4 linked regions of the Notamacropus eugenii genome follow. The protein of the gene in region 1 interacts with the protein of each later gene in a pairwise test. Links are inferred from orthologs where the notes say so. Each region holds a gene or a part of one and is shown in the gene's direction. Other genes may lie near its edges.

Evidence for each region.
Region 2: the proteins of SORBS3 (region 1) and TBC1D22B interact in binary tests that used the Homo sapiens proteins (3 or more experiments, as listed by UniProt). The link is inferred for Notamacropus eugenii from reciprocal best matches to the Homo sapiens genes SORBS3 and TBC1D22B.
Region 3: the proteins of SORBS3 (region 1) and KIAA0408 interact in binary tests that used the Homo sapiens proteins (3 or more experiments, as listed by UniProt). The two-hybrid records come from large-scale screens. The link is inferred for Notamacropus eugenii from reciprocal best matches to the Homo sapiens genes SORBS3 and KIAA0408.
Region 4: the proteins of SORBS3 (region 1) and PAK2 interact in binary tests that used the Homo sapiens proteins (3 or more experiments, as listed by UniProt). The two-hybrid records come from large-scale screens. The link is inferred for Notamacropus eugenii from reciprocal best matches to the Homo sapiens genes SORBS3 and PAK2.

What each region holds. Positions count from the first base shown.
Region 1 is NC_092872.1:612,075,203-612,082,281, reverse strand, and holds the start of SORBS3 (vinexin), read left to right. Parts: upstream 1-4,074; 5' UTR 4,075-4,192; coding exon 4,193-4,228; intron 4,229-7,079. UniProt on the Homo sapiens protein: Vinexin alpha isoform promotes up-regulation of actin stress fiber formation. Vinexin beta isoform plays a role in cell spreading and enhances the activation of JNK/SAPK in response to EGF stimulation by using its third SH3 domain.
Region 2 is NC_092873.1:94,914,869-94,922,783, forward strand, and holds the start of TBC1D22B (TBC1 domain family member 22B), read left to right. Parts: upstream 1-4,910; 5' UTR 4,911-5,085; coding exon 5,086-5,141; intron 5,142-7,915. UniProt on the Homo sapiens protein: May act as a GTPase-activating protein for Rab family protein(s).
Region 3 is NC_092873.1:211,372,332-211,379,935, reverse strand, and holds the start of KIAA0408 (uncharacterized protein KIAA0408 homolog), read left to right. Parts: upstream 1-4,598; 5' UTR 4,599-4,870; intron 4,871-7,604.
Region 4 is NC_092876.1:335,605,580-335,613,203, reverse strand, and holds the start of PAK2 (serine/threonine-protein kinase PAK 2), read left to right. Parts: upstream 1-4,617; 5' UTR 4,618-4,729; intron 4,730-7,624. Other genes in the region: PIGX (phosphatidylinositol-glycan biosynthesis class X protein), read left to right, coding at 111-254. UniProt on the Homo sapiens protein: Serine/threonine protein kinase that plays a role in a variety of different signaling pathways including cytoskeleton regulation, cell motility, cell cycle progression, apoptosis or proliferation.

The sequences.
Region 1 (7,079 bases):
CCAGTCCCTCCCTCTGTCAGTATGAACAACCTCCCCTGCTCATGGCCACAGATTCATTGCCATGGCAATCTCTTGGCTGAGCCATCTCCTGCCATTAGAGAGGCAATGTGGTCTAGTAGAAAGCTCTCTGGACTTGGGAGTTGGGAATGCTTGAGTTTAGACCCTATCTCTGATGCTTATTAGCTGTGAAAGCAGATTCTGAGCCTCAAAGCACTCATCCATAAAATGCTTGTAGCCCCTGTCACCAAATCACCCTCAAGGCTCCCTTGTTAGAGCCTACCTCTGACACATACCGGCAGCATGTCATAGTGGGCTCCTCAGACAGCTGACTTTTAAGTTACTGACCAGTTGCTGATGTTTGATGTTTATCATGGAGGGGGAGCATCCCTCCCTCTACATTCTCTCTCTCCCTCCCCCTCTCCCTCCCTCCCCCTCTCCCTCTCCTTCCCTCCCTTCCCCCCCCTCTCTCTATCCCTCCCCTTCTCCCTTCCTTGGGGCAAAATATCTACCTGACAGGTTCCTGAGGCTTCAGTGACGTATGGTGTATGTAAAGTGATTTGCTAACCTTCAAGTGCTGTTATGTAAATGCCACCTATTATAATAGGTGTAGAGGACGGATAGATTTCTATTTACACACGTTATATAACATGCAAAAGAAAAGAAAAGACAGCAAAGGAGGTGGGATAGCTTTTGAGGGCTTGAAGCAAAAAACACCTGTGGCTGCTGCATCAAGTAGCTGGGAAAAGAAGAGCAAGCTGTTGTAGTGCTGGGCAGCTGGAACAGCAGTAGCAAGCTCCCCAAAAACAAATAGAATCCCTACCCCCATCCCTCCCCTGGAGGGGAGGGGAGAGAAAGAGTGAATGCCTGATGAAGTGAGCCAGAACAATCACAGCTGAGACCGGACGGAGGAGCTGAGAAACCTGAGGCCTGGGGTTTCCAGATGGAAGAGTTTATCCTGTCCTCTCCAAAAAGATAGAAATCTGTAGGTTTCTCCTGCTTCATACTCTGGGAAGCTCTGAGTATTTCCCTCACTCCCTTGACCTCTCTGTGAGGCAGTATGGGTGATAGAGAGGGCATCCTTTCCAGCGGCTGCAGCCAGGCAGCCGGCCTGGTTAGAGGTTACAGGAGAAAAGAAGGAAAAAAAACCAGGAAGAGAAAGTGATGGTGCCCAAATGCACACATGACGTGCTTTGTTTTGCCTGCTTCGTGTCATTTAATAAACCCAGTTGAGCTTGGGGCCTTGAATTGGCAGGCCAAAGTTCATTTACATAGGAATCAAGAAGTCAGAAGAGGGTGGGTCCATTTAGCCCCTCTTCCACAATTTACACCCCCCTCCCCACTTACCTCCCCCCAGTCTGTTTACTCAAGTGCCTATTCCCACAGTGATGAATGAGACTGGTAGACCATCCTCAAGCTCCATGACCCTCCCTCATGACAAACAGGAAGTCAGGACATTAGTCAGCTCAGCCACAACCTCTGTGTTAAATATTTGTCTTGGAGTCTAGGCTAGAGCCCTGGAGAATAAGGGGACTCTGCTGCTGGCAAGTAGTGTTCTGGTCAGGATCACAGGCAATCAAGGATGTCCAGTGCCAGCCCTGGAGAGCAAGTAAGGAGAAGGCAACAGATCCCTGTGCAGGCCTGGGAGCCTTTTTGGCTGGTTTCCCCTGGGTGGGGATAATGTTTAGGGCAGAGGGAGTGAATGAAGGCAGTATCTTCAAAGGCAGGGAGATCGGGGTGGATGTTCCCAAGGAAGGGTTAAGTCCCAGGCCTCTTTAAAAAAAGATCATTGCTTAGTCCTTGTTAGTTCCTCTTTTCAACGAATCCTCACACAATGCCCACCCACTCCATCCCCTAACTTTTCATTGCGAAGAAGAAAAGGAGTGCTCTAAACCCCCCACACACTTCTGATTAAGTTACAACAGGGAAACCAAGTTAGAGATACCAGTCACCACTGTTCATGTTCATGTTCTTTGGGAATGGATCCCCATTCCTGCTTATCCCTTTCATAAAATATCTCATGTTGGAGGAACAAAGGGCCTTAGAGAAGTTTTACTCTCTCAGTGCACTGTGACCTAAAGAAGGAGGAAGGACCTACCATAGGTTGGGCTCCTAGGCCTACTCTGTGGCTGCTAACCTCAGGGTTGAGGGAGCTGCCCAGAGTTCTTCAGGCTGGGATGCCCTCCTCCGGAGTCCTGAAGCCTACCTCCTGATCATTCGTGGTATGAACAGGGCAAGTGCTATATTTGGTACAACGAGTGGGTCAGTGTTATAGTTCTTGTTTTATAGGGAAAGAAACAGGCCTGGCAAAGAATGGAGCCCAGGTCTCCTAGTTCCCAGTTCCAAACTCTTTGCACTGTACTGTGTATGTCATCCCATGAAACTTGGCAATCCCATTTCTTTCAGAAGCTGGATTGGTGCCTGTGTCCCTTGGAACAGAGGGGACATGGAGGAGGGTATGGGTTGTAGGAGTGGCCTGTTTTCTGAGCTCCCCTTGGGATTAGAGCTATTTCTAAGGTGCAGAGAACAGTGTGAGGGTTCCAACTGGGACTTAATGTCTCTGGAACATGTTCCCCTGGGATGGTCAAAGTCAACCTGGTTGCCTGAGCTCAGCTTACAAACAAGTTCTCTTTTCTTCCTTTCCCCAGGCCAAAAGCTCTTTAAATACTCCCTGCCAAGATCCAGAGATGGAGCATCACTGTGCTTGTTCCTGCCACTCCTCCAGCATCCCTGTTTCCTCCCATTCTCTCAACAGCTATGGTCAGGGGGATCCTTCTCCATTCCTTTCTGTCCCTAAGCTTCATCTGACTATTTAGAAGACCAAACAGAACCAGAGTCATGGATGAAGGCAGGAGGGATACTAATGAAAAATGGTAGCAGCAGCACAGGTTAAGAGGGAGTGGAATGAGTCTAGGGAGTCAATGGGCGTAGGTTCTTAGGAGCAGAGCCAGGAGCAACAGGAACATCGGAAAGACAACAAGATCAAAACGTGTTGTCCGCTGCCTGGGAACATGCGGACCACCCCACTACCGTCAGGGGTGGGCCTCCACCCTCATCCGCCCTCCCAGGCTGGCTTACCCCAGCCCCTCCCCTGTACCATTTCCTTAAGAGAAAATCCTTCCAGCCCAGGGCAGCCTTCCTCCATGTGTTCCCGCTCTATTGGCCCATTGCATGCGTATGTATATGTGTAAACGTACGTCTGCCAAGTCCTTGTTTCTCCACGGCTGTGTATATGTGTATAAATTTCACTATTCACACCTCTTTTATACCTCTAATTGTGCTGCAGCCGTGCCCTGTTTGTGTCAGTCTCTTTGCTTCACTGTCTCTTATTTCTGTCTCTGGGGCTCTCAGTTTCTATCCCTGTGTCTCACTGCGACTGTCCGTCTTATTCATCATTCCTGCACTAAAGGCGGGCTCCAGGACCAGAGGAGCACACCCCACACACCCATTCTGGAAATGTTGCTGGAAACTCTGAGTAGCCCCACTCTGGTGCCAAAGGCTCCACAGGGCACAGAAGGAAAGCTGCTGGGAAAGGTTCTTGTGGTCCCCTGGGACCCCCAGGACTCCTCCTCCTCTAAACACGCCCCACCCTGATCACTGGGTGATCTCCCTGCCTCTCCTCTGCCTCGGTCCCACCCTTGAAATGAGAGCAGCTCTCCCTTCCCCAGGAGATGGGCACTTGCTTGCCTATAGCCTCCTGACCAAATTACACCCCCCCTTCCAGTTTTCCCCCACCCCAACCCCCACAACACACATAAACACACAACATGAGGAGGGAGGGGAAAAAGCTACAGACAAAAAGTATGACTTTTCCCTACACCCCACCCTGCTGCAAACAGGCCAGAGATTGGAAACTCTCTGCTTGGTTCCCTCCCTTCTTTCTCTCTTCCCTCCCTTCCTCCCTCTCTCCAGCTTGCAGACTCCCTGCTGATTTGACTCTTTCTCTTTGTTATCTCTCTGTCCTCTCTATCTCACACCCACACTCCAGTTCCCCATTTTCTCTGTGACTCTGACTCTGTCTCACTGCCTCTCCTTCCTCCCCTCCCACCCACCCACCCACCCTATAAGAGTCTTATTCTGCCCCAGTCACGAGGGAGAGAGAACACACCCCAGACTTCTCCCCTTCCTGGCAGCCTCCCCAGAGGCCCACAGCTGTGGGCTCAAGGTGGAGGCTGGAGGGAATGCTTTCTCCCTCATGGACTCTCCATCCTCTCCACCAGTTCTTCTGCAGGTAGGTGCCAAAGAGGAGGAGGAGGGGGCAAAGGAGGAGAGGCTGAGGTCAGGGAGGGGAGGGATCAAGGAGGGAAGAACAGCCAATCCCTCGAACCAGACAAAGGGAAGGCAGACTGGCTCCTCCCTCTGGAGTCCACAGAAAAGCAGCTGGGCCCTCTTCCTATGCTCAGGGAAACTGAGGTACAGAGAAAAGAAATTGGGAAGAGGACTGGGGTCATCTTGCTCCTAGCACCTTGCTGTTCAAAGAAAATATAAGCTTACCTGGGAAGCCTTTTCTTGTCTTCTTGGGGGGAAATGGGGAAGAGAGAAGGAGCTGAGATTAACCACCACCACCCCATTTATTTTCCCATGTATTGTCCTGGACAAGGACAAAAAACCTCCAAGTAGTACTACATTGATTGCTGTAGTCCCAGAGTCAAGCCTTTAAATTAAAGAGGACTTGCCAAAAGGACTGGAGAATTCTGTCAAGCTCACAGGAAGTAGACAGAGTGCTGATCTGGGAGTCAGACCTGGTTTACTTCTGATCCCATCCCTGCATCATCTGGTGGGATGGATGTAGATCAAGGCCCTTTGCTTCCATTTCTCCCTAAATGAAGTACCTCTCCCTCTCTGTTCCCACTTTACCCCTACCTCTAACTCCTAGGGATACTGGTGGTCAAGAATGTAGAGGCCTGAATGGGCAAAGTGTATGTAAATTCTTATTGCTTTAAGGGACTGGGGTAACTGGGCCCATTCTCCCCATTAGGGAGAATGAGGTAGGATGGGAAAGGAAACATTGAGAACATTGTTTTAGGGGGAAAGGGAATATTGGAAAACAGACACAGTCTTTGCCTCCTGAAAACAGCCTAGTGATCAGGACTAGGGGTGGGGACTAAACTTGGAACTCCCAGATAAGAAATTCCTTCTCCTAGTGCATATTCCCACTTTCTCTCTGAGTCATAGAGAGAACTGTGGGGTTAAGTGACTAGCTTTGGGTCACACGTACAGTAGAGTCAGGATGGGAACCTTCCTAACTCCAAGGCCTTCTCTGCCACACTGGAAAACAAAGGAATTGTCCAGCCTGCTTGAAGGGAAATTATCCACTCTGAATTCCTCCTAGAGGTCAAGGAAGTCAGAGAACGTCAAGAGAAAGGAGAATCCAGGGTCAATTGATGATGATGATGATATAACTCAGAGCACTGAGAAGTTAAGGCCTGATACTTCCAGGCTGTCAGCCCTCAGCCAAGCTCTCCTTAGTCATGCCTCAGTGTCCCCCTGCATAATGTTTAGAAAAGAAAGAATTGGAGAAAGCTTTGATGTGAGTTGATCTGCTGATGTGGCATTGCCCTTAGTCCTAATTGAATCCAGCTGGTGAATGCCTTCACTTCCCACTCCTCCCCACCCCCAACAGTCTAATGGGCACAAAAAAGCAACAGGCAAGCTCCTGCTCCAAGCCCCAGCAAGTATAAGTGGCTCACAATAGGGGGCCTGCTTCCCTGACCTTCCTGATTTCTGGGACTTCATTACAAGTGAACAAGAGAGTGACAAGTTCCCCATCCCATGCCCCCCCAGTGCACTGCTCATGTGAAATCCCCACTCTGGCCATGGGCATGCATCTTCCCAGCATACAGGACTCCCTCTTTTCCTCCTTTTGCGAATGCTGCCCTTTGTGAGTGTGGAAGCCACCCACAAATGACTTGGACTCAACTCAGGAGGTGCCAGTGTGACGCAGGCAAGTCCTGTGACTCTAGCTGGGGTGGGGTAGGGTGGAAGGAAGTCCCATGTCAACCCATGATTTCAGCCTACACTTTGTATTTAAATTTTCAAGAAGAGTCCAGGTCTCATGTCGCCATCACCCAGCACAGGGACCACCTTCCCTTCATCTTCCACCTGCTTCCTCCCTTTCCCCCAGCCTCCTCCTCCCCCTCTCCAAGTCTTCCACCTTCTCCTGCTGCCTACCCCTATGGGGGCTTTCTCCTCACAGAGCTGATCACCTCTTCTACACCCACTGCTGATTTCCAGAGATAAGCCATTCTCTACTATGGCCTCATTCTGTGGATCAGCAAGAACAGGTCTGGAAGACAGACAGATAGACAAAAAGGGACAGAGACACAAACCTAAACACAGAGACAGAGCAAAGAAGAAGAAACAGAGACAAGAAAAAGAGACAAATACAGGAAGGAAAGCAGAGGGAAAGACTTGTAGAAATGAGTAAGGAGAAAAATAGAAAGGTTAAGAAAGCAGAAGGAAAGCAGAGAAGATGAGACAGACCAAGGGAGAGATAAACGTACATATAGAAACAGGGAGAGAGACCAAGGGAGAGAGAAATATACAGATAGAGAGAAACAGTCAGAGATAGAGACAGAGAGAGACCAAGGGAAAGATAAACATGCAGAGAGAAACAGTGAGAGAGAGAAAGAGAGAGAGCATCCAGAGCCCAAGATTTGAAGGCAGGCCAGTCCCCATTGGCATTCTGAACTCCCCAGAGTCCCTGGGAAGGAAAGCTGAAATAGAAAAGGCTATGACCATTTCATGCTTAACTCCTGACTCAGGGAAGATGATTTCTACCCCTCACCCAAGAGGCACTGCTTGGTCTTGGTACTAAGGGGAGGGACCCTGCCTGTTCTCACTTGGGGCATATAGCCAAGCTAGACTAGTTTCTCTCCTTCCTTCCTTTGTTGCTGTGCCCAACAGCTGTTTCCATTTCTCTTTTCAGGGTTAGGAAGTCATAAAGTGCTTTGAGATCCCCATGGGGTATGCCTGGATGATTGGATGACCCAGGCATTTCCCATCCTCCCCTGCTTCTTGCCATCCCTCTTCTCTCTTACCCTTTCCCTCACCCTGGTCCTCCACACCCCCCCTTCCCCCCA
Region 2 (7,915 bases), on another chromosome or scaffold:
GCTTGACTATACATGTTTGTAAAAGAAATTCTGTTTTTCTTGATTCCTCAATGGGGAGAAAGGGAAGAGAGGCAGTGGGAGATTGTTCACTTAAAGTATAATTTTAAAAAGGAGTCCTTTAAAAAATAGGGTTATGAAGGCCTAAATCAGGGTAGTGGCTGTGAGAGTTGAGATAAGGGGGATGTAGGAGAGATGTTGTAGATTCAGAAATAATAAAATTTAGCAACTTCAGTCCAACCATTCTAGAAAATAATTTGGAATCAAATTATTGATTTGAAGAAAAATAACTAAAACTAAAAATAACTAAATTCTTTACACCCTTTGATCATGACATCCCATTGTTGGACCCCATCATATTCAGGGAAGTCAAAGACCAAAAGAAAGATCCCTTATAGAGAGACCAGAATATTAATAACAGCACTTTTGAGGACAGCGAAAACCTAGTGGGTACCTACCAACTGGGAAATGGTTAAACAAACTGTGCTCCACAAATGTAATGGAATATTATTGTACATAAGGAACAATGAATATGAGAAATTCCAGGAAACAGAAGACTTGAATGAACTGATATGGAGCAATGAAAGTATAAATTAGAAAACAATAAATAAGTGATCACAACAATGTCATTTGAAAGCAACGCTGAAAGATATTGAAATTTAGATAAATGGATAATTGATCTTAGCTCCAAATATCTGATAGTGATGTATACTTGCATTGTCTCCTTAGGGAAGTGTATATGGCTACAGTTGTGGAATGTCAGCTGTAAAGACTTCACTACTCAACGTATTGTTGCCCCAACAAAACTCTCAACATTATCAGGAAAGTAATCAGAAATAAATAGAAATCTTTATCCCATTCCAGCAAGGACCTTCAAATTCTTTTTTCTTCCTTACTGCCTTTGCTGGAAAGAACTGGTTCGCAAATGCAAAGGGATTCCCAGTACCCTCTGAATCCCACTGATAATAAATGGAAGGTGCTAATTGAACAGAAGACACACAACTCAGGTACTGGGGAAGGGAAGAGATAAAAGGAAGAGATTCATTGTGAACTGATTCAAAGTGGACAATGGAAAGAAATGGGAGAATTTAATGGATACCTAAGTGCTTTGAGTTACAGTAGGGGTTCTTAATCTGGGACTTTTTTCTTTTTCAGGATAACCTGCTAACATTTATTTTAAAAAATATAAAATTTTCCCCAAATACATATTAAAACAATTTTTAAATTTTTTTTAGAGTTTTGAGTTTGAAATTCTATCCCTCCCTTCCTCTATCCCTCCCCTCATTCTTCCCTGAGGTGGTAAGCAATCTGATATAGTTTATACATGTGCAATCATGTAAAACATGTCCATATTAGTCATTTTATATAAAAAGATAAATAAAAAAAAGAAGGAAAGAAAGAAGAGAAAAATAGCATGCTTCAGTCTGTATTCAGACAGTATCAGTTTTTTCTTTGGAAGTGGAGAATATGCTTCATCATTAGTGGATTGTCTTGGGCTATTGTATTGCTGAGAAGAGCTAAGTCATTCATAGCTCTTTGTTGTACAATATTATGATTATTGTGTGTAACATTCTCCTGGTTCTGCTCACTTTGTATCAGTGCATGTAAGTCTTTCCAGGTGTTTCTGAAATAATCCTGCTTGTCATTCATTTCTTAAAACATAATTAATATTCCATTATAATCATATGCTACAGCTTATTTAGCCATTCCCCAATTGATGGATATCCTCTCGATTTCAAAAAAAAAAAAAAAGGAGCTGCTATAAATATTTTTGTACAAAGGTTTTCACGTCTTTGGAATATAGACCTACTAGTGCACAGTTTTATAACCCTTTGGGCATAATTCCAAATTGCTTCCCAGAATGGTTGGATCAGTTCACAACTCTATTAGCAATGCATTAGAGTCCCAGTTTTCCCATATCCCCTCAACATTTTCCTCCTTTGTCATGTTAGCCAGTCTGGTAGGTGTGAGATGTTACCTCAGAGTTGTTTATATGTGCATTTCTCTGATTAATAGTGATTTAGAACTACTTTTTAAATTAAAAAAATTATATTTTGATATAATTGGCTGCCTTTGTAATCATATATATATATATATATATATATATATATTTAAATTAATTTTAAAGCATTGTTCTAAGAAGGTTGTTGGTAAGTTTCAGATTGCCAAAGGGGTCCATGACACAAAATAGTGTAAGAGCCCTTAGTGTACCGAGTAGTGCTCTGAGACTCCTGAGACTAAGGTGTTAAAAACAACAGAAGGTATAAGTAGCCTAGAGACATTCTGGCCCCAGAGGAGAGAAATAGTTGCCTGTTATACAGGCAACTAAGGCTCCTCTAATGCAATTACTTTACAGACTGAAGAGCTAAAGATTATGGAAGTAGCAAATATCAACAGCCAGTAAGCAGATTAAAAGAGAGGATGGTGAGACAGCAAGTACTGGAGAACATCAGTGGTAAAAAAGGTGGCAGGAACAGAACACCAAAGTGTGGACACAGATCCAGAGGCATTCCTACTTTCTGGAGCACCATTCAAGGTAGTATTGTAAGTCATAAGGACTGTACAGGTTCCTGGGAGGCAAGGTTGGATGATAGGTAGTGATGAGGTGGGGGGAGGGGGTTTGATTCTTTTGAGTTTGGATGTAATGTCTTTCTATGTTCCCCATATATAGAACTGTTCTGTGTTTTGAAACCCAGTGAACCTGATGGTTGTAAAGATTGCCCTGATGGTTGCCCTTAAGGGAGTATCAGATACTAAAGTTTTCTAGATACTACCTGGTGGAGATAATGAAAGAAATAAATGAGAAGCATACCCAGGCCCATTTCAAGAGGAATTCTCTTTTTGGTCTACTTTGTTGTTATGAATAAGGTTAACTAAGTTCTCTTAGCCCAGAGATTTTTTTATACCCTGCACAAAACCATGGTATATCCATATATGGAATATTGTGTACAGCTCTGATCACAACATTTCATGAGAGACATAATTAGAAAATATCTGTTAACAATGATCAAAGGGATAGATGCAGCAGCTTCTGTTTGAGTATAACAGCTCAGGAATATAAGAGATCTGGTGGGAGTATGCGGGGAAGAGGTAAGAGGACATGATCAAAGTCTATAAAAGCATGAGTTGAGTGATCTCTATCTCAAATCTCAATACTGAGGTCATGGGACAAAAGTATCTTAAAGAAAGGTACAAAAGTTAGTTTGAAAGAAAGTCATGCCTGAGTAGTAAGCATGAGAAACTCATCCCAATAGATAGTACAGTTTGAAAATAGAAATGGAGTCAGGGAGGTTTTTCTAAATACAACGATTTTTGGAGGGTACTTCTCTAACTTTAGTGACTGAATCCATGGAGAGCAATCATGCCCTCCCACAAAATAGTTTTTGGCACTCTGTTTTCAATGAATTCTTGACTGAAATCACTATGCAACTTCTTACACCATTATACAGATGTGCCAACATCTGGGTTGTCATCAAGAGGTAATGACTTTCCCTCTCGTTATTGAAAAAACACTTTTATCTATTTCCAGTACACTTACATAATACTGTCTATTATAGTCAACTGTTCATGGTTTTCGCCTTTCCTAGAGAGGGCTCTTTCCATAATATGATTCAATATCAACATTATCTTTCTGTACACTGATAGTAGGTCATTCAACCTGTGTAATTCTTGTCTATATGGTAGAAGCTTAATGTATGTTGGTTGAATGAATAGGGACCTTCCTCTACCAATAAAGGTCAGTGTCTTTTCTACAGTTTTACAACTTTAGATAACAGCCTGCAGCAGTGACTATAACACTATATAGTCAGTAGTGTCAGAAGTGAGACTTGAACCTAAATCTTTTTGCTTGGGGCCCCAGCTCCCTATCCGCTAAACCAGGTTGCCTCCCCAAAGTAATAGAAAGAACGTGGACTATCTAGTATGTGAACTTCCATGGGACAAAGATTACTTCTTTTATGTGGTACACCTCACCAGTTCTCTAAGTGCTTAATGGGATTCTCATCAACTAACCGCTCTTTTGTTGCAGAAGTGGTAGCCCTGAGTCAAAGGCATTTTCTTTGCTTTGTGGGTAAGGAAGTTGTGGTTCAGAAGGAGAAAGTTTTTCACTGTGTGTATAGAGCAGTGACAATTAGCTGGTGATGAGAGCTAGGACATTGGAATACTAACTTCCTAACTTTTATTTCATTTTTAAAAATATTTTTTATTTATTTTTGAAATTTTCTTTTTAAATTTTGAGTTCCAAATTCTTTCTCTCCCTCCCACCACTCTCCCACCCACTTAGGCAAACAAATGATATCCATTATATTTGTGAAATCATGCAAAATATTTCCATATTAGCCATATAGAAAAAAAAGTAAGAAAATTTCCTTCAGTGTGCACTGAGTTCATCAGTTCTCTCTCTGGAGGTGAATAACATTTTTTCATCACGAGTTTCTAACTTTTAGAAGAAGAGTTCTTTTCCTACTTCTCATCTGGTCCTCCCTTGACCCTCTCTCAGCCAACACCCCCCTCAAAAAAAAAAAAGGAAAGAAAAAGGAAAAGAAAGGGAAAAGGAAGAGAGAGAAAAAAAGAGGAGAGGAGAGAAGAGGACAAGAAAAAGAAAAGAAAAAAGTCAACTCGGAGTCCTAAGAGACCCAACTCAATAAAAAAGTGTCTTCTTTCTCTCACCAAGGTGTAGGTTTCTTTACCTACTCCAGCTCTTCCCGGTGATTGGCGCTTCTAAGTCCCGCCCCTCCATCCTCTAGGACTCCTCCCCCGCTGCCCACCTGTAAGTATGCCCGACCCCTGACGTAACTCTCGACTTCGGCGGCCCACACGACGCACGCTCCTCATTGGCTTGCGTGGCGACGGCCCCCGCCGTCGACCAATGGCAGCGGCGCGGCGTCGTGAGGAGGAGGGGGGGCGCCCACATCCAACATGGCGCCCCCGGGAGGTGGGAGCGGGTGACCGGCGGCTGTGGCAGCGGCGGCGGCGGCAGCAGGAGGGAAGCGGCCTTGCGCGGCCCTCGGGTGGCGGGGTCCTGGGGGCGTCTCTCCGGCTCCCCCCCCTCCCCGGCCCCGCCTACAGCCCGCTCCCCGGGCCCGAGCCATGGCCGGAGACAACAGCAAGCAGTTTTGGAAGAGGAGCGCTAAGCTGCCGGGGAGGTGAGCGAGCTAGCGAGGGAGGGAGTCCTGGACGGCCGGGGCCGGGATCCACCCGAGCCCCAGCCCCGCGTGTGTGCGCTGCTCCTAGCGGGGAGTGGGGGCTGCCGGCGCCTGGGAGGTGCGTACAGGACCCCCCGGGGAGCTGGGGGGGCCGTGCTGAGGATCAGCGTCCTGTCGGCCGGAGGTCCGTCTACACCACAGCCCCGTGGAGCTGCCGCCCCCACTGGGATGCAGAACCTGAGGCACCGAGACGGGCAGCCACTTCCCCGGGGTGGCACAGCCCCGAGGAGCGCCCGGGCTGCGTGGCCGCCGTCGTTGCCGTCTGCGCTGCTGCTGCCAGGCTGCTGCTCTCCGGAGCAGATACTAGGGGAGGGGGCTCCCCGGGCCGGATCGAGAGAGGCCCTCTCCTTCCGAGCCTCGGGGTGCACGGCGGGGAGGGTGCGCGAGCACGGGCCCCTCTCGAGCCCCCCAAATGCAGGCCGTCCCCTTCTGTCCGGCGGCCAACGAGCACTTGTTAATTATCTGCTCGCTAGGTGCCTGCAGGTGCTGCTTCCCCCAGCCCTGCTCGTGGCCCCCCGTGTTGGGGAAGGGGAGCCTGGAGGGGTCCTTGATGCCCCTTGTCTTTGTGGACCCGTAACCTCATACCTGTGGGGAACTCCCTTTGCTCTTAGGACTTCGCAGTCGTAGAGTTTCTTGGGACGCTGAGGTGTTAGGTGACGTTCCCAGGGTCACCCAGCTTGTGTGTGCCTGGGCTTGGGGCAGAGGGTAGAGAAGGGGAAGGCTGTTAGCCAGCCTCATTAGGAGTATTATAAGGGGATGTGGAGAGTGTACGTTTGTCTGGAGGATTTATCTCATTTAATTCTTTCTTTCTTTTTCTTAATATCTTTCTTTCTTTCCTCCATCCCTTCCTCCTTTCTTCCCTTCTCTCCCTTCAACCATCTCTCTCTCTCCCTCTCTCTCTTTCTGTCCCTCTGTCTCTTTCTGTCTCTCTTTGTCTCTCTCTCTCTCTCCCCCCTTCTCTCTCCTCTTTCTCCCTCTACCTCTCTCCTTCTCTCTCCCAATCTCTTTCTCCCTCTCTCCCTCACTCTGTATTCTATCTCCCTCTCTTTTTCTCCCTCTTTCCCTCTCTCTTCTTCTCTTTCTTCCTCTCTCTCCCCCTTCCCTCCCTCTGTCTTTATCTCTCTCAAAGTTTCTAATAGCTAACATCCATAGACACTCTCCTATGATCCTGTCCTTGTGCAAGTATATAGAAGTCTCCCCAAATGCTTCATGTAATTAGCTAACATGACTGCTTTTTTCATGTTTGTTGCATCATAAATATGCCTTGGCATCCGCACATCCATTCCCTTACATGTGGTTTGCAGGATGAAAGAAGGATAGAAAACCTCCTCAGAGATATCTTAAGAAGCTGGTGCTTCTTGAGTGAACAGAAGGCAGTTGCAGACAGGGCCAGCTCTAGTGGTGCCACATAAATTGTCGTTTTCAATGTTTCTGACTCTTTTCTTTCTGTTCGTTGGTTTCCTTTGCTTGTTTCTTCCCCCACCCCCAGAAAAAAATGGGATGGTTGTGACTTCCTAAGAGAAAAAAATGAAAGAAGTGAAGGTTAGGGAAAGTTATATAGTTATTATGTTTTATTCATTACCCTACTAAGACCCACATGAAGGTGGAGAGGGGGATAGAGTAAAAATCAGCTTCAAAATCAACTTAATGTTAATTATATTATTTTGAATTCATATTTGAGAGGTTTTAACAGGCCATTTCCTCCCCAACTGTTCCATTTTCCTTCCTGATTCATTGGGGTCTCCACCTCTATTAAAAGCTGTTCACGGGGTTTTCCATGATGAGATCATTATATATTGTCTGCCCTGGAAGCCTGGGAATATGACATGAGTAACTTTGGGGAATTCTTTGGAGAATCTAAATTGAAAAAGGGGTGTGTGTAGAAGATGGGGGCTACAGCCACTACTTCTGTCTATTTTAGGTATTTCTAATGTTGTCTTATAAAACAATTAAGGGGAAGATGTAATCTTTTGAAACCCTATACTTTAGTGAAGGGTGATAGGAGAGTTTTTTTATTGTGCTCTGTGGCCTTCCTCCAAACCAAACCATTTCATATTCTTTTAAAATTCAGGACAAGTGAACCTTATAACTGGGTCTTTACCCCTGCTGGTTATAGAGGAACTTAGCGTTAATCCTTGATCCATTATGCGTTTGGTGTGTTAGGTAATTGGTGATTTTTGTTAGTACTTTGTTCTTTTTCTTAAACAGATTTAGATCTGGATTTATTTCTGGGCCAGGGACCATATTTTAGAAATAACAAAAGATCTTAAATGATGCTTTGACTTGGACCCAAATTTTTAACAACTTCCTGATCGTAGAACTTTTTCCTCTTTCACACTAAAGAAAAACTTCTGTTGTGTGCAACAGAACTGAGAAAGCTATACATGTGTTGAAGAACTTAGAAGTAAAACTAATTTAGTATTCTTTAAGCTGACATGGAGAAAATAAAGCAATGACTGATTGCTTTTAGTTCCTTTGAAAGCAGATCCAGAAAACTTTGTGCCAAAAAATGGAAGTCTTATTTAATAAAGTATTTCCTCAGATACAGCCACCCCCCAACAAAAATCATTAAAGAATGAAAAATTTTTTTTCTTCTATACCTTCTTGATAAGACCCCTTGGTTTACTAATGTGTCACTGAGACTTAGTTTGATGCTCAGGAAGATGGTACTTTCTTATTTTTATTGAATGAGTTTGATTTCTGAACTGAACTTT
Region 3 (7,604 bases), on another chromosome or scaffold:
TGTTGTTCTTATTTTTCCTGAAAGGATTTAAAGATACACCGAGAAACTATTTGCCTCATGAGTCTTGTCACTTCAACTGGCTCCTTTTTTGCTCTTCATGTGTAAATGGTAGCACAAGGACCATAACATATATAAGGAGGGATTTTCCAGTAGCAAGGGTTGTTAAACATTGGAGTGAGCAGGTAATAGACACTGTGGAATCTATTTCTTTAGAGATTTTTTAAAATAGAACTAACTGTCATCTGTCTGGGATGGTTTAGATATGACCTTGCTCATGGCATCCTAGAGCTGGACTAGCGGACCTGTCAAGATCCAATCAGAGCCACTGATGCTATCTAAACATAGTTGCTGAGTCTCTTGCCTTGACACAAAGCACCTATGTTAATTATTCATTGAAACTTGTTTTAAAAGGGAAAAGGAAAGAATTCCTCCTTGAGGTTTACTGTTATGAATCACCTCTTATGCAACATAACCAAAGCTGGAAGGATTTAGAAAACAACCTTTATTAAGTTTGATATACAAATAATACAGCAAACCCCAGAGGCCAAGTGTGAGTGAACATAATGTTATCAGTTACCTTGGTTTAAATTGCCCTCAATTTAATTCAATTCAATAAAGAATTATTAGCCTAATAGATAACGTTTGCATGTTGTGTTCCCTGTTAGGCTGTGAGCTCTTTTAGATCAAGGACTGTTTTTTGTTTTGTTTAGTTTTGCCTGGCTTTGAACTTCCAGGGCTTAACACAGTATCTAGAACATAACAGGTGATCAATAGATGTTAATTGTCTGGCTGATTGTATAAAACCTTCTGCTAGGTATTGAAGATACAAAGATAAAGATGACATAATCCTTGCTGTCAAAATCAAACTGTCTAGTAGGGGATATCAAATGAAATATTTTGTCAAATAAGATAATATATAAAGTGCTTTGCCAACTTTAAAATACTGTATAAATGCTAGCTGTTTTTTATTAGATACAGAAAAAATAATATAATACTATTTAGAAAAAGATTCCATTCTTAAGAGATATGAATCATGGTACCATTAGAGATTTGGGGAGGGATTTTGTCTTTTAACTGGTGAAATTTGAGAAACATTCATAGAGAACTTGGTACCTAAGTTGGATCTCAAAAGACAAAAAGGATTTCAATCAGTGTTATCTTGGGGAGGAGGGTCCTATCCAAGTGTGTGAAAATTTATGAAAGCTCAAGAAAAATTAATGATTAACAAGAAGTTGGCTTAGGCCAGAGTGCAGGCTGTGTGGAATAGAGGACCATAAAATATCTGCAAGGATAGTCCAGAGCCAGATTGTGGACAGCTTTGAAGGCCAATTTGAGTTTTTATTTTATTCAGCAACCAATAGAAAACAACTGATGATTTTTTAAGCTAGGGAATGGAGTGAGCAAGTCAATGAATTAAGAAGACTACCATGGTAGCCGTGGGAAGGATGGCTTGAAAAAGAGATTGGAGGTAAGAAAGCCAGTTAGGAGAATCATTGTAGATATTCAGAAAGTATTGAGATGGGTAAAAAGGGGGAAATATGTCAAAGGTAGAAATCAGAGGGCTTGACAATGGATTGGACGTGCATGTGGATTAGTCAAAACTGATGGTTAGGTTTTAGATCTGGGTGGTGAGCAGAATGGTGATGTCATCACCAGAAATAGAAATGTTAAAGGAAAAAATGGTATCCAGAAACAATGAGTTCATTTTGGGACATATTTTAGGATTTACATGGGGATGTCCAGTAGACAATTGGAAATGGAGATTGGAACTCAGGACAAAAAGTGGAACTAGCAACAGAAATTTTAGAAGAGTCCTTTACATAGGTGAGCATTAAATTTATGATAGTGGATGAGATAACTGAGGGTAGGAGAGAAGAGAAGACCAAGGGCAGAGCACTGAACAGTAGGCATGTTCACTAGTGATTATATACCTCCAATATCTTCTTGCTGTCTACATAAAGTCTTTCCCACCACGACCTCTATTCCAGTTATTTCTCGTGGAAGTAATGCTCATCTATAAACAGACAAAACCATGGAGATTACTGGAGATGTATCTTTTTACAGGACTCTTTTAACTTCTGTTACAGGAAATGTATCAAAAACAGGGCCAACGAAGACTTAGATTCTTATAGCTTAATCTTTAAGCATCAATAGAATTTTCTTCCTCATTTCTGGGTAACCAGTTAAAAAAGGTACTTTCTTTGGCCCAATCTACATGAGTGGGAACAAATAAAACTACAAAAAATCATAGATTTAGAGCTGAAAGCACTTTAGAGGTCATCCAATCCAATCCTCCCATTTTATAGAAGAAATTAAGGCCCAGGGAAGTAAGAGTGGATTGCTTAAGTCTGCCTTGATCTAAACCCAAAGTCTTTTCAATCCAGATCCACCACGCTATACTGTTGTTGTGTTTATTGTTAGATAAGACCAACCCTGGGATTTCGGTGATATTCCAGTGCAGGTCGGTACTTTTTCTGCAACTGATTATCTTAAAAGGTTGTATAGAGCACTAAGAAGATAAATGACTTGCATAGGTCATACGGTCAATATGTATAAGAGGTAGAGCTTGAACATAGGTGGTAGCGGTAGTAGTAGTTGTCATTACCATAGTAATAGCAGCAGCAGCAGCAGCAGCAGTAGTAGTAGTGGTAGTAGTAGTAGTAGTGGTAGTGATAGTAGCAGTAGTAGCAGCAGCAGCAGTAACAACAGTCACAATAATAATACTTTACCAGTATTCTCTTTGGTACATTTACTTAACAGAAGGCATCACATATTTATAACCAAAAGATGAGAACTCTAGTGACCCTTCCAAACATAGACCAATTACATACATATATCTACGATATAAAAAGCATTCACAGCTTTTATTACTCAAATCTATTAATGCATACATACACACACACGTAACTATGTATAACTATGTGTGTGTGTGTGTGTGTGTGTGTGTGTAGAGAGACAGAGAGAGAGAGACAACAGAGAGAGAGACAACAGAGAGAGACAGAGACAGAGAGAAAGGAGCAAAAGTGTTGTGCCAAAAAAATCTTAGGAAGGTAAAGGGCACCTAATGGTAACAATAGTAAAATCAATAGTAACTATATTCACGTAGTACTTTACATATAGTCTAGTTCATCTGATCCTTACAACCCTAACACATCAGAGTTCTTATTATACAAGTGTTACAGATTATGAAACTGATTTGCCCAAGGGCATGCAGCTATCTGAAGAGGAATTCAAAACTATTTCCTTCTGAATCCAAGTCCAGCATTCTGTAAGTACATCAATACTGCCCACTGCTGGCACTTAAAAAATATTTGCAATCACTTGTATGCTTTCTACACTGTGTCTTATGCTGCTTACGTTCTGGTCTCAGTTGACAAGATATGTAAAGTTTGCTTTATTGACAAATTTGAGCTAGAAATCTGCTGAAGAGTTTATCAAAATGGAGCAAACATTTAACAGGGTCAATCTTATTATGACAGTAAGGAATGCATTTTTTTGCTGTTCAATCATGTCCAACTCTTCATGACCCCATTTAGGATTTTCTTGGCAAAGATACTGGAATGGTTTGCCATTTCCTTCTCCAGCTCATTTTACAGATGAGGAAACTGAGGCAAACAGGGTTAAGTGAATTGCCCAGGGTCACACAGCTAGTAAGTGTCTGAGGCTGGATTGGAACCCATGAAGATGAGTCTTCCTGACTCCAGGACTGCACTGTAATACACTGTGCCACCTAGCAGCCCTTCTTGCTGCATTGCTCCTTCACACAATACAGACATGGACAGAAAGAGCTATAAATGCTTCAAGAGGCAGCTTGGTGTATTAGAGAGTGCACAAGACTTGGAGTTAGGAAAACCTAAATTCAAATTCCACCGTAGACTTTTCTGAGCTGTATGACTTGGTACAGGTGACAATTTCTATGAACCTCAGTCTCTTGACATGAAACCTCACAGAATTATGGTAAGGATTAACTATGATAATATAGGTAAAGTGTTTTGTAAACCTTAAAGCAGTATATAGTAGTAGCATTAAAAAAAAAAAGAATTACTAGCTTGGAGAATGGCATAGGGAAGTATGAAGAGAAACATGTCGTATATCATCTGAGAAGAAACATATTTTCCAAGTGGTACTTCATATAAAAAAATTAGAAATGGCTAGGTTTTTAATCCTAGAGTATGAGCACTGTAGAGTTGGAAAGAACAATATGCCCCTTCTCTCCCCTTTCCCCCCACCCCACATACCCTGCCTTTGAAATCCACCAAGTAAGTAGAGAATGCCTGATTTGGTGTACCAGAACCTAGCCACACAACTTCAGGAGACATTGACATATATACATTGAGATTGCATGTAGTTAAAAAAAAAATCAAGATCTTGAAAACAAGAGTTAAATTTCCCTAACAAAAAGGATCTAAAATGGGCCATTGTCATCCGTTTGATATTAACATCAGTTCTTTTGGCGTGCTTGAAAATGCTGGGCTACACTATAAAGCTAAAAATGTCCTGGACCTAAAGTTGTTTACACAAAATATGAACAGATCTAAAGTTACAGAGCTGGGGTTGGAAGAGGTGTCTCTAAGGCCATCCTCCCCATAACTGACGTCACACCAGTCCCAGCTGCTGGTCTGACGCTGAGCTGAACTGTTGTTTTGTTTTTTTTTCACTCTGTAAAAGTAGTGAAGAATTCAAAGAGCCTTTAGTGTTGCTGTGCTGAATTGTTGTTCCCGCTTTGGTGTCTCCTAAAGGAGTGAAATTCACAGAGCTGGAAATTTTTTTTTTTCCTGTTCTCATAGCTATACATTCCACTTGTTTTTCACTGCTAGATTTACCAATGGACTGACAGAACTTTCAAAGGATTTCCTCCCTGCAAAAAAAGGTATGTTTTATTTCTGGAAACCTAAAAGTGAGCATCTAATTGTTATAAACTAGAGAGGGAATGCTATGTTTTAAAACTTGAAACTGCTGGAGTCCAGGATTATTTAAACATCTGTCTCTGCTTGAAAACAATGAGGTATGTAGTAACGGTTTGCACTGAGTTCCAAGGGAAAAAACCCTTCAGCTACTTAGACAGTGTCTTTAGACTTTGATTTTTTTTTCCAGTGAGAAAATGCTAACAATGCCATCAAGTAGTCTGGCTTCTTTTGTTTGACACTGTTTTCAGAAAGGAGCTTTAGGGAGGTTTAATTTTTCTAAATGTACAGTTCACAAAATGTTCAGCCTTAAGATTTTAGAGGTAAATAAAGTCACTTTCATCCAAGCTTATCATTGTTATTGAACATTAAGTATATTTATCAAATTATCAAACCTGTTATCCATAACAGGCTAATGTCTTGAAAAAAGGGGGGGGGGGATCATTATCCTCTGACATAAAGGCAAATTAATTTTAGATACTTGCATTTTTATGTCAAACATTTATTTTAAAATCAATTATTTTATTATTTTTTATTGAAAGAGAGGCAGTATTATGTTATATCTGGAGAAATGGACTTTCAGTCAGAAAACCTGTGTTCAAGTCTTGCCTCTGATACATACTAGCTCTGTGACCCTGTGCAAAGCCTTCCAAGGTCCAGAAAGCTCTTTAAGTTTTAAATTGCAGAAAAGATGTTTATATATGCATGGGTAGAATACTTAGTAGAGGAGAGAGTCCTTTTGAGAGAGCCAGGTTACTGTTAAAGTGTGCATCTAACTTGATAATGCTTAATAGATTCAAGTTCAATAAATTTAAATAAACCTACCCTAAATAAACTTTAGGGCAGCTAGGTGGCACAGTGGATATAGCACCAAACCGGGAGTCAGGAAGACCTGAGTCCAAATCCAACCTCAGACACTTACTAGCTGTGTGACCCTGGGGAAGTAATTGAACTGTATTTGCCTCAGTTTCCTCATCTGTAAAATCAGCAAGATAAGAAAATGACAAACCATTCCAGTATCTTTGCCAAGAAAACTCCAAAGGGGGTCACAAAGAGTTGAATATGACTGAAATGAGTGAAAAACAACAAAAACCCAAGAGTTATGAAGGGTGAAAAGGCAGTAGTAGTTTAAAGAGGAGGCAAAGTAAGGATGGAGCATCCCTTTAATTAGAAGGCATGGTTTTGGCTAGTAATAGCAATGAAAATAATGTCCTGTGGTAACACTAATTGGCTCATGTCATCCTGGTCTGGAAAGTTATCAGAAATGGCTTCCTGAGGTGAAGGATTCTGACTTATCATGTAGAACTGTACAAGATCTCAGACAATATCTACTTCAAGTCCCTCATTTTACACATAAGAGATCTAAGGCCCATGGAGGTTATGTTACTTGCCTAGGGACATACAGACATAGATTTTCAGCTATTCTAATCCAAACTCTTAATTTTTGCATATGAGAAAACTTAGTAAGCATCAGAGGTAGGATTTGGACCTAAGCCTTCTAAAACCAGAGTCAGTCTTCTTTCCATTATAGCCTCTTTTTATCTTGGTATCCCCAGAACCTCACTCAGTACCTATAAGCAGGTACTTATCATAGAATCAAGGGCAGCTAGATGGCACAGTGGATAGAGTACCTGATCAGGAGTCAGGAGTCATCTTCATGAGTTCAAATCCAGCCTCAGACACCTACTAATTGTGTGACCATGGACAGTTAAGCTTGTTTGCCTCAGTTACCTTATCTGTAAAAAGTGAGCTGGAGAAGAAAATGGCAAACCACTCCAGTATCTTTGCCAGGAAAATCTCAAATGGAGTCACAGAGAGTTGGAGGTGACTGAAAAATAACTCAGTAAACAGAATCATAGGTTGTAGAGCTGCAAGGAGCCTCAAAAGCCATCGAGTCCAACCACATCATTTTTACAGGTGAACAAACTGAAATCAGTGATGTTGCCCACAATCAGTCAGGTTGCTGACAGAACTGAGATTTGAACCCAGAACCTCTGACTCCAGACATTTCCACTGCTGTGCTACCTTTCTTATTATTGGTTAATTGTCTTCAAGCACATGTTCCCTCACAGTTAGAGCTATAAGAGAAAATTAGGTGTAATAGAATTACTCGGTTTTCCTGTTACTTTCTTATGGTTTTCACCAGATCATTTTGATCCAATCTCCAGATCTGAAGGGAGTGGAATGGGACAGTTAAAACAGCACAGAGAATATTCCTTAGAAATCTTCCTCTTCTCCCACACAGATACCAAAGTCTGTAGGAGAGGAGGCAACAGAGAAGTCTGTAGGAGCTGGGAACAGAATGGACTTTTATAATTGCTTCAGTATCATTAGTAAAAAGTGACTACAGTCAAGGGTCACATATTTTTTTAATATGCTTCCTATTATGACATCTCACTGTTTTCTTGCTGAGCTCTCTTCATCTAAAAAATGTTTTTAGTTTGATAATATTTATATCTGCTTTATAACAAAACAGTAATTATTACAGCCCAATGTTGTATAGGTATTGTCTATGTTAATTTAAAGTAAGAGGGAGCTTACCTCTAAATATTTATTCTGTACTCTCTACCACTGTTGAGAGAAAATGAGTAAGAATGGAAGAGCTTATGCACAACTGGGCTTTTCGGAAAACAGGCAATTAAGTAAAGGCCAGAATGAAAAACTGTATTTCAAAAAAGCGAATTATTATCTCAAGTTATT
Region 4 (7,624 bases), on another chromosome or scaffold:
CCTCCCCCACAATAAATCCACCAAACTGAGTAAATGTAAGCTCTCTTTTGAATGTGCATTTAGAGTGTTCCTCTAATCTTAAATTGAACTTGTCTACCCTCTCTCCGTAGGTAAATCAGAATGTGATACTACAGGTTCCAGTGGGGCTGCGAGTACATTGTCTTTTCGTATGTGTCATAACTCTGCTTGTTACAATCTTATGTTCTGGTCTTATACTCAGAGCCATCTTCAAACATGGTCATTTCTCCCTGTGAGAATGTAATGTAATAGTTGGTAGTATTCTAGAATTATGGCATTCCTTTTAATTGACAGTAATGTATTTTAGTTTTGTTGAGAACAGTTAAATAAAAAATGTAGAATGGTGTTTTGTAAATAATTTCACCTAATTTTTACTTAATACAGAAATTTATGCTGCATTTGTGCTTGGTAATTTCTCAAGTATCAAGTGCCAATATAAACAATTTAATTCTGTTAAATGGATAAATTATTTTTCAAAGAATAGGGTCAGTTACAAGATTGTAAGCCCTTTGAGTGTAAAGAATCATGTCTTATTTATCTTTGTATTTGCCTCACAGCCTGAGGTAGCTCTTTGCTCTTAGTGTAATATGTGTTAATTGAATTAGAAGAGAAAAATGAGTTCTATTTTCAGAGAAATGAATTTCTTATATTTTTTGATATTATTAACTAACAGATGTTAATAGAAATCAGAGAAAGCATTACAGATGAGGGCACAGTATTTCTAATCAGACATTTGATTGACAATTAATTTTTTTGAAAAACATTAGAAAACATCCAATGGTTTAGGGAGAAGCAAAATTAACACCAGAGACTGTTATTGCTAATAGCAAAACTTACCATACTCAGTGGCATCCTATTTCTCTTTTATTATATTGCTTCTGGATTTATATACATCTGTTAATGGTGGGGAAGGAAAAATAATGAAGTTACTTAATAAGCTTTAGTATAAGAGAAGTGTGAGGGAACACAGCTCAGTCTGCTCATTAAAGAAGATCTTCTATGAAACCTTGTATGTCTCATAATAAGATTATTATACATTGATTTTTAAAAATGGAGGCCTAGTCCCTGCTTTATTTGGTTAAAAAAAATAGGAAGTAAGAATAACAGTAGGCGAACCTCAAAATAACCCTGAAGTAAATGTGCTGCTAACCAATAAATCAGAGCATATTATTTTTTAAAAATATATTTTTATCTATTGTGTTAAATATTTCCCAATTACTTGAAAAAATTGTTTTAACATTCATTTTTAAAAATTTTGAGTTCCAAATTCTCTCCCTTCCTCCTGCCCCTCACCCACCCCTTGAGAAGGTAAGCAATATTGTATCTATGATACATGTAAATCACACAAAACATATTTCCATATTGGCTGTGTTGCTAAAGAAGACACAAAACCTCCCCCAAAAAAATAAAGTAAAAAAAGTATGCTTCAGTTGGCATTCAGAGTTCATCAGTTCTCTCTCTGGGGGTGGATACCATTTTTCATCATGAATTGTTTGGGATTGTCTTGGGATTTGGAATCATTGTCTTGATCAGAATACCCAAATCTTTAACAGTTGATCACCATTACAATATTGCTGTTTCTGTGTATAGTGTTCCCCTGGTTCTACTCACTTCACTTTATATCAATTCATATAAGTCTTCCTAGATTTTTCAGTCAGGATATATTATAACTATGCTTTTTGGTAGAGTAAATACAATGTGATATATGTGTGTGGTATATACATAAACATGTAAGATCAGGAGAATTCCCAATTTGCAAATCTGTTTCTCACAATGAAACTAATTAATTAAACTGCTGCTTGATTGTTGGCACTTTGTCTCTGGCTTGCTGTTTCGTCATTCTCAGTTTAGATACTGACTCAGTAAAAAATCCTGTTAATATCAGTAAATATTTTATTGTATGAAGAACATAGTATAGTAATATAGGTTATGTAGCAGCATTTATCACAAAAAAGAAGCAGCTGGGGTATTGTAGAAGCCATCCTAAAATATGGCTTTCTACTGTTTTCCAAAGATAAATACCTTCAAAGAGGGTTTATCTTTCTCAGAGGCTTTATAGTTGGACCCAGGACCTTATCTTGCCCAGAATCAGGCTACCACATCATTTCCAGACCACTTCTGGAACATCCTCCCATCCCAGTTTCTAGCTCAAAGATAGATAGATGATAAGTAGATAGATATATACTTCCATCTCTCTCTCTCTCCCGCCCCCTTCCTCCCTCTCTCTCCCTCCCTCTCTCCCTTTCCCCCCCCCCTCAATTGCATTGTCAGTTTCTTAAGGGTAGGACTTGCTTGCTTGTAATACACACAGTCCTAAGCCCAATGCCTGGCACATAGTAAGTGCTTAATCAGTATTTTTTTTCACTCCAGTGCAGAGATGAGTTGGGGCTTCATTCTTTGATTTGATAATTGAAAAGGCAAAATTTCTATGGGCCAATTACATTTTTTGATCTGTTATTTTTTTCTTATGGGTACCTTTGATTTTTTAAAGAGATTTAGCATTAAAGGGCTAGGTTTAACTGTTAAAAATTTACCAAACCTCAAAGTTGCTATGCAATTTTGTGGCTTTCTAGAGTGCTTGCTTCTTGAAGTACAGTGTCTCCTAAAATGATTTTACAGGAAGAATCAACTCATGGAACTGCAAGGAATTTTAAAGATTACCTAGTCCAGCTATTATACCTCATTTTACAGATGTGGAAAGTATAATAAGATGGGAAGTGATTTCTCTGAGGTCATATTTTCAAGTTATATAGTTACAGAATGTTACCAGTTGGGTGGGCTTGATAGATAAATCTATTTCCCCTTTCTTTATTGGACAGATAAGGAAATCGAGGTGGAGACAGTGACTTGCACAATATCACGTAGATAGTATTAAAGGCAAGACCAAGACATAATTCCAGTTTACCATTGATTCTCCCAGTTTGTTCTTTCTACCTTATCATGTTACTTCTACAAAACTGAATGCCACAAATCTTTTGTCTGTACATCCTGGATCTGTCTCTGAAAAGCATTCAAGTATACCACAGGCCTAGTTCACTGCATCCTGACATTCTTCCGCTCATTTCATTTTGCTGCTTCAGGCAGAATAAGGAATAGGGTGAGGACAGTTAAGTGATCATTATACTTGACTTCGGATGAGGGAAGGTGGATCCAAATTTTGAAGTAGGTGGTTTGTTTTTGGAGGTCTCCTGCTTCCTTTTTGTGGGGCAACTAGGTGGTAAAATGTATAGAGTACCGGGTCTGAAGTCAGGAAGCATTATGACACTGGCTGTATATACCTGGGCAAACCATTCTAGTATTTTTGCCAAGAAAACCTCAAATGGGGTTACAAAGAGTTGGATACCACTAAGCAACCAAAAAACCTTCCATTGTACTGCAATGCAATAAAATATTGATTATATACATCATGGGGAAACTGAGGCCTGGGTTCAGGAATGACTTAAAATACACACACACACATGCACACTTTCCCAGTTACATGTAAAAACAAAATCAACATTAATTTAAAAAAAAAATTGAGTTTCAAATTTTCTCCCTCTTTCCCACAAATGCAAAATACAAAACATTTTCCTATTAGACATGTTGCAAAAGAAAACACATCAAAAAGGAAGAAAAGTAAAGTAAAAAAAAAGTATACTTCAAAATGCCAGCAGAGTTTGTCAGTTTTCTCTGGAGGGTGGATAGCATTTTTCATCATGGGTCCTTTGGAACTGTCTTGGATCCTTGTCTATGTTACAATGTTTAAGTCTTTCATCTTTGATCATTGTTACAACGTTGCTGTTATTGTATACAATGTTCTATTTTTGCTCACTTTACTTTGCATCAGTTCATTTAAGTAGAATGACTTTTTTGAATGAATGAATAAAAAATTTATTTAGTGCTTACTATCAGAAAGCATTGTGTTTTGGACATCAAGATTTGGTAGGTAAACACCTAAATGGATTTAGAAGGTGGCATATCACTTCAGAGGACTCTCAGACTAGAAATGGTAAGCCTTTTTCATGCATAATAAAAAAAAATTAGCATTGACGTGTGCATAGGATTTATGTATATCCTAACTATCTGGTGAATTCCCCAAATAGAGCAGAATTGGCATAGGCCCTTTAGGAGACAGGGGATTGCACTACATGAAAGACTGCACAGCCTCTCTGGGCTCTGAATCACCAACCACCCGGGAACTACAACTCCCAGTAGCCTCTTGTTCCCTTCGCGGACGGCGGCCAATCGGGTTTGAGGGGCGCGGTTTGACCCAGGAGAGGCGACGGCTCCCGCTCGGCACAGCCTGCGGGGCGCTGCAGTTGTTGACGCCTCCTCCCCTGAGCTCTCCTCGTCCCCCCTCCCTCCTCTAGGGTTGTGGCCACGCGCAGCAGCAGCGGCGGCGGCGGTTGTTCCGCTTCCCCTCAGGCCCCGGCGGTCGCCATTGCCCAAGGCTGCCTCCCCTGCCCTGCCTGCACTGGGGCGCTCGGGGCGGCAGCACGGCCTAGTAGCGAGGGCGACCGCAGTAGTGTCCCGGGGCAGGGGGCCTCGAGTTGCGAGGCCGGCTCCCGGTCCCCCCCCTACCCTGCTCTCCCTTGCCGCGCCCTCCCGGGGCGGCTCCGGAGCCAGCCAGCCAGCCAGGCGGGGCGCGCGGGGCTTGCGTCCCGGCGGTCGCAGGAGGAGACGCTGACCCAGGCGCCTCGCAGGGGCGGGGACGCTTCTCTCCGTGGCCGCGGTAAGTGAGGCTTGGCGCCCCCTCCCCCGCGCCAGGCACCCCGGCTCGGCCGCCGCCGCCACCTGCGTCCCGGGGCGGTGGCTGCTTATTGTTTGCTCCCCCGGGGCAGACTTCTTCCCCTTCTCTGCTTCTGGGGGAAGGGAGGGCCGAGAAGTTGGGCGGGAGGGCCGAGAAGTTGGACGGGAGTGGGGGTCGTCCTGCCCCTGACCTGCCCCGAGCCTCTGCCCCTCTGCTCTCCACTTATCTCTCCCTTCCACTCACACGTCTTTTTCTTTTCCTCGTGGCCCCTTTGGAGTCCGGCCAGTTTCTCTCCTTCCCGACAGTTCCCAGCGATCCCTCCTGTCCTCCCTCTTTGGGCTCTGGACATGGGTCCGTTGAATCTCTGCCCAGCCCTTAACCCCAATCTGCTATCTCCCTTCCCACAAACCGCAGCAGCTGAAACTCCTGGTCCACAAATCCATCCCCACCTCTGTAGCAACAACTCCTTAGGTCTCATTTCTGATCATTCCCATTTTAATCCCACTGTGCCAGGAGGCGAGTTGTGGACTTCTGTAGGTAACCTTAAATTAACTTGAAGTTACTGAGCATGAACTTGCTGCTTTCAGCTACTTAAATTTCTTTTTTTTGGGGGGGGGGGCACTCCTAGAATAAAAACTTCTTAAGTGGATTCATCATTTTGCACAAGTCTTTTAAGTACTGAATGACCCGAGTATTGATGTCTGGAAAGTACTTCTAGTTTCCTGGTTAGAGTATAGTTTGTGGTCGTCCTTTTATTGGGGGTGAGAGAGAATATCCTCTTTATGCAACAGGAGATTTATTTCCCGCTATATGGTGATTCATCGATTTCTATCTAATAATCTAGACATGTTTTGCCTCCTTTGCAAAAGGACACAATCAGAATGGTTAGGCCTAAAATTAGACCCACAAGCTGGGTTTTGGATCAAGGCTATACGCGTCACATTTTTTCCCCTGCTGTGTTTGACTCTTCCGCTCTTATAAGTAGGCAGGATATTGAAATCTACAAGAATTTACTCTTGAGAGTTTGTTTTTGTAGGTTGTCCAGAAAAATAAGAATAATTTAAAATGAAGCTAGATGAAGATCTCTTTTGTTAGATGAACTAAGTGCACAGTAATTTTGGAGGCAAGTAAAAACTTGTCCAGCCTTGCCAGAGGTTCTGTAGCTTTTGTCAAAGACTTAACTTTTTAGAAAAAAGGAAGACCGAGTAAAATCTCGTTTAAGAATATAGGTTTAAGGTGACACTTTTATCTTTGGCTTTTTAAATTGTGCACTTGGCACTATTGGTTAGCAAGTGACAAATTTTTTTAATCATCAGAAGAAAAAGCATCTATCAGAGAGAACATTTTGTTAAGGCAGTGTTTAAGGTGACAGTTGCTTTAGGAAAACTCAGGACTGATGATAAGTTTCTAGCCCCTCAACAAAGATGATTTTTTATGTTTTTGATGTGGACCTAGACATTGAACCCATGGAGGTGATCCAAATTCAGGTGTTTTTGTGTGGTCTTCTCACTGTTACTGCTGAAAACCTACAAATGGTATGGTGTCCCTTTTCCAAACATAATAAAAAAAGCATTAGTATTGAAGTGTTCCAAAGGCTATGTGCGTGACATGATTGGTTGGTGAGCAACAATGAATAGCCAAGATCTTAACCTCTTCTTTTTCTTTTAGAGACTTAACACAACCCCTCATGCCAAGAATGGGGTTAAATGTTTGATAATTGTAGTTCTGATAATCTCAGGGTATGAGATGTTGGAACTCTTAGAGTTCTTTAAAACTTTGTTTTTTATGACAGTTGTATGTGCAATCCCTGGTTCTCATTCAGGAAATTACACACCCAGAATTATAGCTAGCTGGGAGTGACCTTAAAGGTCATTTAGGCCAGTGACTATATTGTACAGATGAGGAACTAGAGGCCCATAGAGGTGTCCAGTGACTTGCTTAAGGTTATTAAGCTAATAAGTAGCAGAATCAGTATTCTATCACAGGCTTTCTGACCGACAAGACTGGTGAAGCTTTTTCTGCTGTGGTATGCTATCTTTTTTCTAGGTATTCCTGTCTAGTTGAGACCTAGGATCCTGTGACTAGACAACTTATTACTCAGTGATATTGCTGTTATTTGGGAAATTATTTTTTTTCTGGAGCATTATAATGTTTCTAATGTTTGCAGAGAATATTTCCTTTTAGGTACTTTGCCTGCAGTTACTGAAAGCTGCCGTCAGGTGTTTTATCGCTTGAGCAGACAGGATACCTCATTGACATGGCTGATAGAGTAGCATGCTTTTCCATTAAATGCTTTTTTTTTTTAAACAAAGTATTCTGGTAGGAAACACAGTTTTTAGTTCATGACTTTAAGATATCAGAACCTAGGTACAATTTGATATATTTTCCCACAGATCTTTAGCTGTTATTATTTACTCATCAACCACAATTTAAAGTAAAATGCTTAGGTAAAACATTTATCTAATGATTTTAGTAAAATGCTTCTTTTGATTCCTCCTGAATTTATATTAGGTCACAAAATTTTGAGGTGTCTGGAAATCTCATTAGTATTTTGGTCCTTTTGGTGTCAGAAGTTCATGCTTTTCCTGTTCTTTAGCCGCGTCCCTCAAATCCATTGATCTTTCATTGATGGGCATTTGATCACTTCTAAGCTAATAAAAAAGATGGAATATATTCAGGTGACTTAGCTCCAAACCAGTACTGCTGTCCTTGTAGCATTCATCTTTCATAGTCTAGAGGTGAAAAAGAAAAAAAAGGAATCATAAGAGGTAGTTTTAGGGTCAGTGAACATATGAATCTTGATGTCCGTCAAGCATTTTGAATCTTTATCTTCAAAATAATCAAGTGTGAATAATGGGTCTTGTGATAGTTTTATGT